Linked DNA regions of Rattus norvegicus. The protein of the gene in region 2 purifies or fractionates together with the protein of the main gene of each other region. This does not show direct contact. Links are inferred from orthologs where the notes say so. Each region holds a gene or a part of one and is shown on either strand. Other genes may lie near its edges. The genes, in order: Rassf3 and Stk3.

Region 1 (3,818 bases), about 9.3 Mb from region 2:
TTGCTGGCAAGCTAAAAATGTCGTCAGGTCTTCCCTGTGTCCCTTAGCACTTCAGATGCAATTGCACTGTAGTTTCCTGGCAGCTGCCCCTCCTCGCTAGGCTGCTGAGCCCGTGGCTTCTGACTTGCCTATTTTTCTGTTCCAAAGAGCCTTTCTTTAACAAATGTACACACTTGGGAAAAGCTGTGCGTCACCCTGTGTAGCTAAGGGACATTCCTATCATGTCAAAGTCAGTACATTTTCTTCGATGGCTGCTTTAAGGCTTTTCCCAGAGAAAACTTAAGTGGCTTACTGCTACTTACTGCAGGGACTATAGACACCAACTTCCATTCCAACTGCTGCCCGGGAGATCCCATCCCGCTTCCTGAAGTAACCTAATGTGCGCTCTATTCACTGGGCATTCGTGTAGGCTCAAGCAGACCTGGGGTCAACATTGCTTGGTTTTTGCATGTGAGTTGTACGTGTGCCTCTTGGCCTCTCCAGCCTTAGCACGTGTACATGAGCTTCAAATGTAAATCATCACTGAAAACTTCAACCACCTAAGTGTTCCTTGGTGCGTTAAAGGGCATTAAATTCATCGCTAACATGCTCTCACCAAACCTGTCCCTCTGTGCGGCAATACCAGCAACAAATCCTCCACGCATGCCCGCTGCACACAGATGCCTCAAAGCCCCTCAGGCCTAACGCAATCATAAATGTCTGACATCAGAGTGTGGCTCCCACACTCTGTCCCTGGCCTCTGACGAGGCACCTCTCGGCTGCCCTTCCTTCTGCTAATGAGTAAGAAAGACAGGAACAGAGGGACCGCTTTCATTTGAAGCGTGGCCACGTACCTTGGTCTTCCCTGTGACAACGCTTATAAAGCGCAAACTTGGTGGGACTCTCGGTCACCTGAAACTTCTTGAGCAGCGCGTCGATCACGTCTCCCACGGTGTTTGTGCTGCTGATATGAAGCGTGTTCATGCAGCCACTGCTGCTGGGGTTGGCAGGGGTCTGGGCAGGTTTGCAGAGTTCCATCTGCACCTTAATGAAGCCAGTGTAAATCCCGTTTGAATTCTGGAGAGTAAAGAAAGGCATACTGAGTGGGCGGTCGGCAGGCTGGGAAAGGAGCAGATCTAAGCCCCATGGGAAGGCGAACAGCTTTTACCCAGTTTTGTCTCGAAAACGATTTCACCAAAGAGAGCAGAGAGGGGCTCCCTCAGTGGGGGATTAATACAAGATCTGCAGGGTGGATGCTGTGGAGGATGCTCCAGGATGTCCTGGAGCGCTAGCCCTGAGGTTTGTGCTTCCAAAGCTTCCTGTGATGGATCAGCACCCATTGAGGAAGACACTGTCCTGCGTGGTCCGCGCCTGCCAGACCAGAGCTGCCCTGAAGCCTGGAGCGTGTCTCAGCTCTGTGCTCAACACCAACCTTCCACAGAGAGGAAGGTCACAGCGAGGGCTCTGAGACACCCAAGTCAGCATTGTGTTGACACTAGGAAAATAGACTAGCTTTATTCCCAGCGGCAAGGGGACACAGCAGATGGCACTGTTGCTACACCCTTGTGCCCAGTGGGTCAGACACTCCCACCTGGTCAAGGCGGGGTCCCTCACTGTGTTCTTGCTGCGGCTGCTGCTACTGCAGCTCTTGGGTATTCCAGGAGAATGGTCCTGAAAGCTCAATTCTCCATTTCTCTGTAGGAGTGTTGGCATTACAGATGTGCACCGCTCCATCTGGCCTTTTTTTCACGAGTCTCAGGGATCAAACCTACCAGCCCTGCCAGCTTGTACTTTTACACAGACAGACAGACAGACAGATATCCGCACATGCTCATACCCCGTCCCTAGCCAGCTCCCTGCCCCCAGCCGTCTGTCAGTGAGAGCCAGGTGAACCAGGAAGGAGTACTTACTAAGGTCATCTTCAGCTTATCTGTGACGGCTAAATTGTACTTATGCACTTTCTCTTTGATTTCCTCTTTGCTGAGGTAATTGTGTGTTTCCTTCTCCTTCTCCACATCCTAGAAGAAAAACCGTCCGTGATCATGCATGAAGAACCACACTGGGGGGAAGGTGCAGATAAACCAGGTTTCATCTGTGTTTCACAAAAGAGCAGCAGACGCATTTCTCCCCGAGACACAGGCAACTCTAGTCTATCAGCCAGCACACCAGGTTCATCTGCCAAGCACGCCTCATTCTTCACACCCGTCTTCCTAGGGGTAGCGGAATGAAGTCAATCCACCAGCAACTGGAAACAGCACTTCAATAAATATTAGTCCGCAAATCTGCCTTTGCCAGATTCCTTCTGTAAAAGTAAAGTTCTGCAGAACATCTGCTAGGCTGCGGGGCACTTCGACCTCTAAGGGGTATTCGTTTACCTTCATGTTTACTTCTGAGACAGGGCCTCATTGCGCGGCCCTGGCTGGCCTGGAACTTACTATATAAACCAGGCTGGCCTAGAACTACTAACAGAAACCTGCCTGCCTCTGCTTCCTGAGTGCTGCTGAGATTAAAGTTGTGAGCCACTATGCCTGGCACACCGAAAGCTTCTCCTAGGTACATTTTATTAATGCCATGGTCTCTACAGCTTTACAGTACGCACTAGCAGAAAGTAGGGAACGAATACTAAGTAACTGGCAATAGTAACCGACCTGTCAGACTGTGCACCACTACCAGAGGGTATATTTACCTTCTAAATAACATGTGACCAGGTTCTCTCTACCCCACCATGCTGTCTACTTGTCCCCATACCCTATTTTCTTCGGCCTTTCTTTCCCCATAACGCAAAAGGGGAAATGCTTACTGGTTAAGTTCTTTCCTGATCCTTTAGAAATCACTAATAATTTATTATCTAAAGATCCCAATCGGGGTTGGGGATTTAGCTCAGCGGTAGAGCACTTGCCTAGCAAGCGCAAGGCCCTGGGTTCTATCCCCAGCTCCGGAAAAAAAAAAAAAAAAATCCTCGAAGATCCCAATCAATGCATATTTGTCCTGCCTGATCTTATGTCAACTTGACACAGGGTAGAAGGAGGTAGGGAAGAAGGAACTTCAAATGAGAAAATGCCCCCCACTGCCCTCAACTGTGGGTCAGCCTGTGGCGCATTTTCTTGATTGGGTGATTGATGTGGGAGGATCTAGCATACTGTGGGTGGAGTCACACATGGACTGGTGGTCCTGGGCACTTTACAAAAGCAAGCCAGGTGTCTGTCTTAGTCAGGGTTTTTATTCCTGCACAATCATCATGACCAAGAAGCAAGTTGGGGAGGAAAGGATTTATTCAGCTTACACTTCCCCATTGCTGTTCATCACCAAAGGAAGTCAGGACTGGAACTCACACAGGGCAGGAAGCAGGAGCTGATGTAGAGGCCATGGAGGGATGTTACCTACTGGCTTGCTTCCCCTGGCTTGCTCAGCCTGCTTTCTTATAGAACCCAAGACCACCAGCCCAGGGATGGCACCGCCCAAAACGGACCCGCCCATCTTTGATCACTAATTGAGAAAATGCCTTACAGCTGGATCTCATGGAGGCATTTCCTCAAGGGAGGCTCCATTCTCTGTGATAACACCAGCTTGGGTCAAGTTGACACACAGGACCAGACAGTACAGCAAGCCAGTAAGTAAGCAGACCTCAATGGCCTCCACCATCAGTCCTGCCTTGAGCTCTGATGCACTGACTTCTCTGGATGATGCACTACAAACTCTAAGAAAATGTAAACCCCTTTCCTCCCCAAGTTGCTTTTGGCCATCGTCTTATCCCAGCAATGGAAACCTAACTAGGACAGATGAATCCATGTACCCACAATCCCAACTGTAGCATCTGGAGAGCCAAGGATGCCAGGCAC
Region 2 (3,818 bases):
GGAGTGGATCTGGGGAAGAAAGGAGATGTGGGAGAGGGACTGGAAGAAGAGGAAGGAGGGGAAACTGCAGTGGAGAAGTGGAGAAAACAAATCCAGACATACAGACAGCACTATGATGGTAGTGATGAGGAGGAGGGGAGGAAGAGGAGGAAGAAGAGAGTACATTGTTCCTACCTTCAGACCTTTCAGCAAAGGAGAACTCTATTCCCTTTTGCTAGCTCACCAGAGACTACACATACTGCTATCTATGCCTTCTGCATCCCTCAGAACAAAAACCATTGCATATGCAATGTCTATTGACTCTGCACAGAGAACCCTTTACCATCAGCCACACTTACTATCCAACCTGATTCCCTGTCAATCTCTTGACTCATAGTTTCCACTACAGTAAACAAGTGAACTGTTCTTCACCTCTCTAGATAAAAACTCTTATTCTTTTATCCTTCCATTTCTCCACCAAATTCTTCCTCAATTTCCAGACTGCCTATCATCTCTTGCTGAAAAACATTCCCTGCCCTCTTGTTCTTGTTATCACTCCAAGTACCCACTAGTCAGTACCCACTACTCTAAGTCAGGGCTCTTTGTCCATGCTTTTTCATCCCAAGTAGTCCACAGCCCCTCAAGAAGAAAAACAAAATCTTAGATTTCTCAGTATTTCTGGATCCTGATACATTATTTGCCCAACAGGAAATGCTTTGTAAGTGCTTGTTGATGAATCAGATTTACAAAAATTATTATATGCCAGATATAGAGAACATGTCTATCATGCCATCACTCAATTCAAAGGCTGAAGTAGTAAGACACAAAAATTAAGCTACAGAGGGAGTTCAACACTAGCCTTAGGCTACACAAGAAAGCCTGCATGGTAAAAAAGAACCAAAAACATGTAATACATAATGTAAAATGAGCCACTAAATATCAAAACCTTAATATTCAACCATAAATTGTCCTGAAGAGAGACAGGCTGTTATCTCCTTCCCTGTATATATCCTTTTATATCATTTCTTTGAATAGCTGTAAGGCCAAAGGACAAGTCTATACATTATCCTCAGGCTCTTTAGTTTTTGTCTTGCTCCCAATAAGAAGGCAGGAAAAAACAAATAGGTAACAAAAAAATCTATTTTACTATGTAACTAATGGCCATCATCAAAATGAACACAAGGAAATTAAGATACTTTCATACCTGTCACATTGTTGCATTATGGAAATTTCTTTGATTATTTCCTGAAGATCTGACTCAACAGGTACTTGCTTAATTGCAACAACTTGACCAGATTCCTTATGTATTGCTTTAAAAACACTTCCATAAGACCTTAAAAAAGAAAGCCAAGATGTTACTTTTTTTTTACATCAAGCATTGTATTAAAGACTACTGAGCTTTTTATGTATATTTTGCATACTGCATTTTCTAGCTTAAATCATCATTATAATGGTCAAAAACAAAAGTAAAGGAATAATAAGTTCATGAAGGAGCGTTACTGCTTGAATTACAAACTTAAAAGTTATCAAGTAAAAACACAGTGAGTTGCTATTTTCTTATGGGAAGAAAGGAGTAGGAGGCAGAGGAGATAGGAAGGAGGCCAGGAGGCTAACTTACGGTTTGTCAACTCAAATGCAGCTTAAAAAGACAGAAAAGGAAATTACAAGCATGAAAAGTAAGTTAAAGACAGTCCAAGTCTCGGGCTAAGAGGAAGACTGAATCAAGCAGAAGCCCAAGGGACCTTTCACTGTGAACCTTTTTTTTTTTTCTTTTTTTTTCTTTTTTGATTCTTTTGGGACAGGCTCTCATGTAGCCTTAAACATACTATAATCCAAGGACAATCTTAAATTACCAAGATTGCAGATGTGTACAACACCAAACTATCGTGAACCATTTAACACTAAATTAAGAAAAGTTGGCAATCCTCAACCAAAGTCTCTCAAGGCTTCTTTAAGTATCACCTTTCAAGAGAAAGACTACACACTCATGGGTAGTCACATAAAAGGAGACAGAAGACTTAATCTCTACTCTAGCTTTTGAATGTCTATCAACTAAATACTTGTGTGTTTTACAGAGCAGAAGCAATGAAGAAAAAAGTGATCTGTAACTTAATATGTACTCCAAACCAAGTTTAAAACTACTTAGTTCTAACAGTAAACCAGGTACCCTGACAGTTTTACAAGCATTGAACCTTCAGAATACCTTGGATTGTGTTTCCCAATTTATAATCAGTGCACTATGTTTTGTCATTTTGTAGTTATGTCTAACTTAGCCAACTGTATCAGAAAAAGAGATTTGTAAAAATCTATCTTATAATTTGTCAAGTTTCTGTTTTTAACCATATACTTAAAAGGGAAGACTGCAAAGTATACCTCTGTTTGTGTGTGTGAGACCATAACTAAATACAACAGATACTTTATATAAGCATTACAATCAGACTTGCTAATAACATTTAATCCTTTTCTAAGTTTTATATCTGTCCACTTCTAAAAGACAAAATCACATATCCATTTTTACTAGATTCTACTTACTCAGCAAATGACTCTCCCATCAGAGTTAGTTACTGTACTGTCTGTCCAAATGATCCGACAGGATTTCCCTTCCTATCCTTATCTCTACTTCTCTGTCCACTTGGGACCTTTTCCCTCTCATTTACCCAACAGAAGCACTGTTCCTTTTGTTTTCCTTTGATTTTTACCCATATGTTTGACTCTTTCTGATAGAATTTTTAATAAAAAACATCCTCCTGTTTAATTTTATATAGAGCTTATGAAAGCAGATTGGCTACTTTTAATTTTCTCCGAAGAGTTAATATTTTAATGTGACATTTAGTGAGCATTATACTTCATTTTACTTTTCCCACCTTATATTTGGAATGTTATATATTATATGTTCTTGCAAATATAATTGTTTTATACTTATTATCTACCTTTATCCATGATCAAATAATATACATTCCTCTATTATTTTGAAATGTTAACAATTCACCTGCCTATACATACTTATTTCCTCAAGATACTCAATTCAAAGCTTCTACTGGTCTTTTCCCAAATAAAATGGGTCCTAGGGTGCCAAACACAACCACAACCACTAGCCTAAGAAAGGCAAAATTATGAAGTTTACCAATGATAATGCACAAGATGGCCAAAACTCATACAAATCACTTTACAGCACATTTCTTGCTTCAGAGAGAGAGAGAGAGATTTTTCTAAAAGATAGTGTTACTATCCATACCTATCACTAATTGTCAGATTTCATGGTATTAGTAGTACTCACTCCAGCAAAAATACCCTGGTGAGAGCCTAGACAACACCACCTTTATATAAAAGATGTTTCCACGGTTCTTACTCACCCTTCTCCAAGCTTCTCCAAAACATCAAAGACCTCTTCAGGCTGCTTAGTCAAACTGTCTTCACTCAGCTTTTTTAGCTTACTGATAAAAGTAGAAAGAAAAATGCTTTCCTTAAAAGCTTTTTAAAAGACAATGCAATAAGCAATATAATCAGACGTTCCAAAAGCAAGTACAATGAAAGGTGCAGCCAACAGTCCCTTCCGAGGGATGTTCCTTGTGTGCCTGGCAACAGACTCCAATAGAAACCTCTTCAAAATCAGATGGTCATTCCTTTCCCTCATTCAGAAAGACAAGATGGCATTTTATACATATGCAATTCATGCACTGCTTCCACTCAACAACATACAGTTGTTTATATACTGATAATAACATATATCCCACCTAATAAAGGGGGTACATTCCAAGAAATACTTTAGGTAATTTTAACACAATAAGAACACCATGGACTGTACTTCAGCAAATCAAGGATATATGGCCTATTACATG

Evidence for each region.
Region 1: the proteins of Stk3 (region 2) and Rassf3 purify together in Homo sapiens (affinity purification with mass spectrometry; 4 studies listed by BioGRID and IntAct, with this or other methods). This does not show direct contact. The link is inferred for Rattus norvegicus from reciprocal best matches to the Homo sapiens genes STK3 and RASSF3.

What each region holds. Positions count from the first base shown.
Region 1 is NC_086025.1:58,826,909-58,830,726, forward strand, and holds part of Rassf3 (ras association domain-containing protein 3), read right to left. Parts: intron 1,998-3,818; coding exon 1,890-1,997; intron 1,057-1,889; coding exon 834-1,056; intron 1-833.
Region 2 is NC_086025.1:68,170,045-68,173,862, forward strand, and holds part of Stk3 (serine/threonine-protein kinase 3), read right to left. Parts: intron 3,414-3,818; coding exon 3,333-3,413; intron 1,619-3,332; exon of another isoform or gene 1,598-1,618; intron 1,313-1,597; coding exon 1,184-1,312; intron 1-1,183. UniProt on the Homo sapiens protein: Stress-activated, pro-apoptotic kinase which, following caspase-cleavage, enters the nucleus and induces chromatin condensation followed by internucleosomal DNA fragmentation.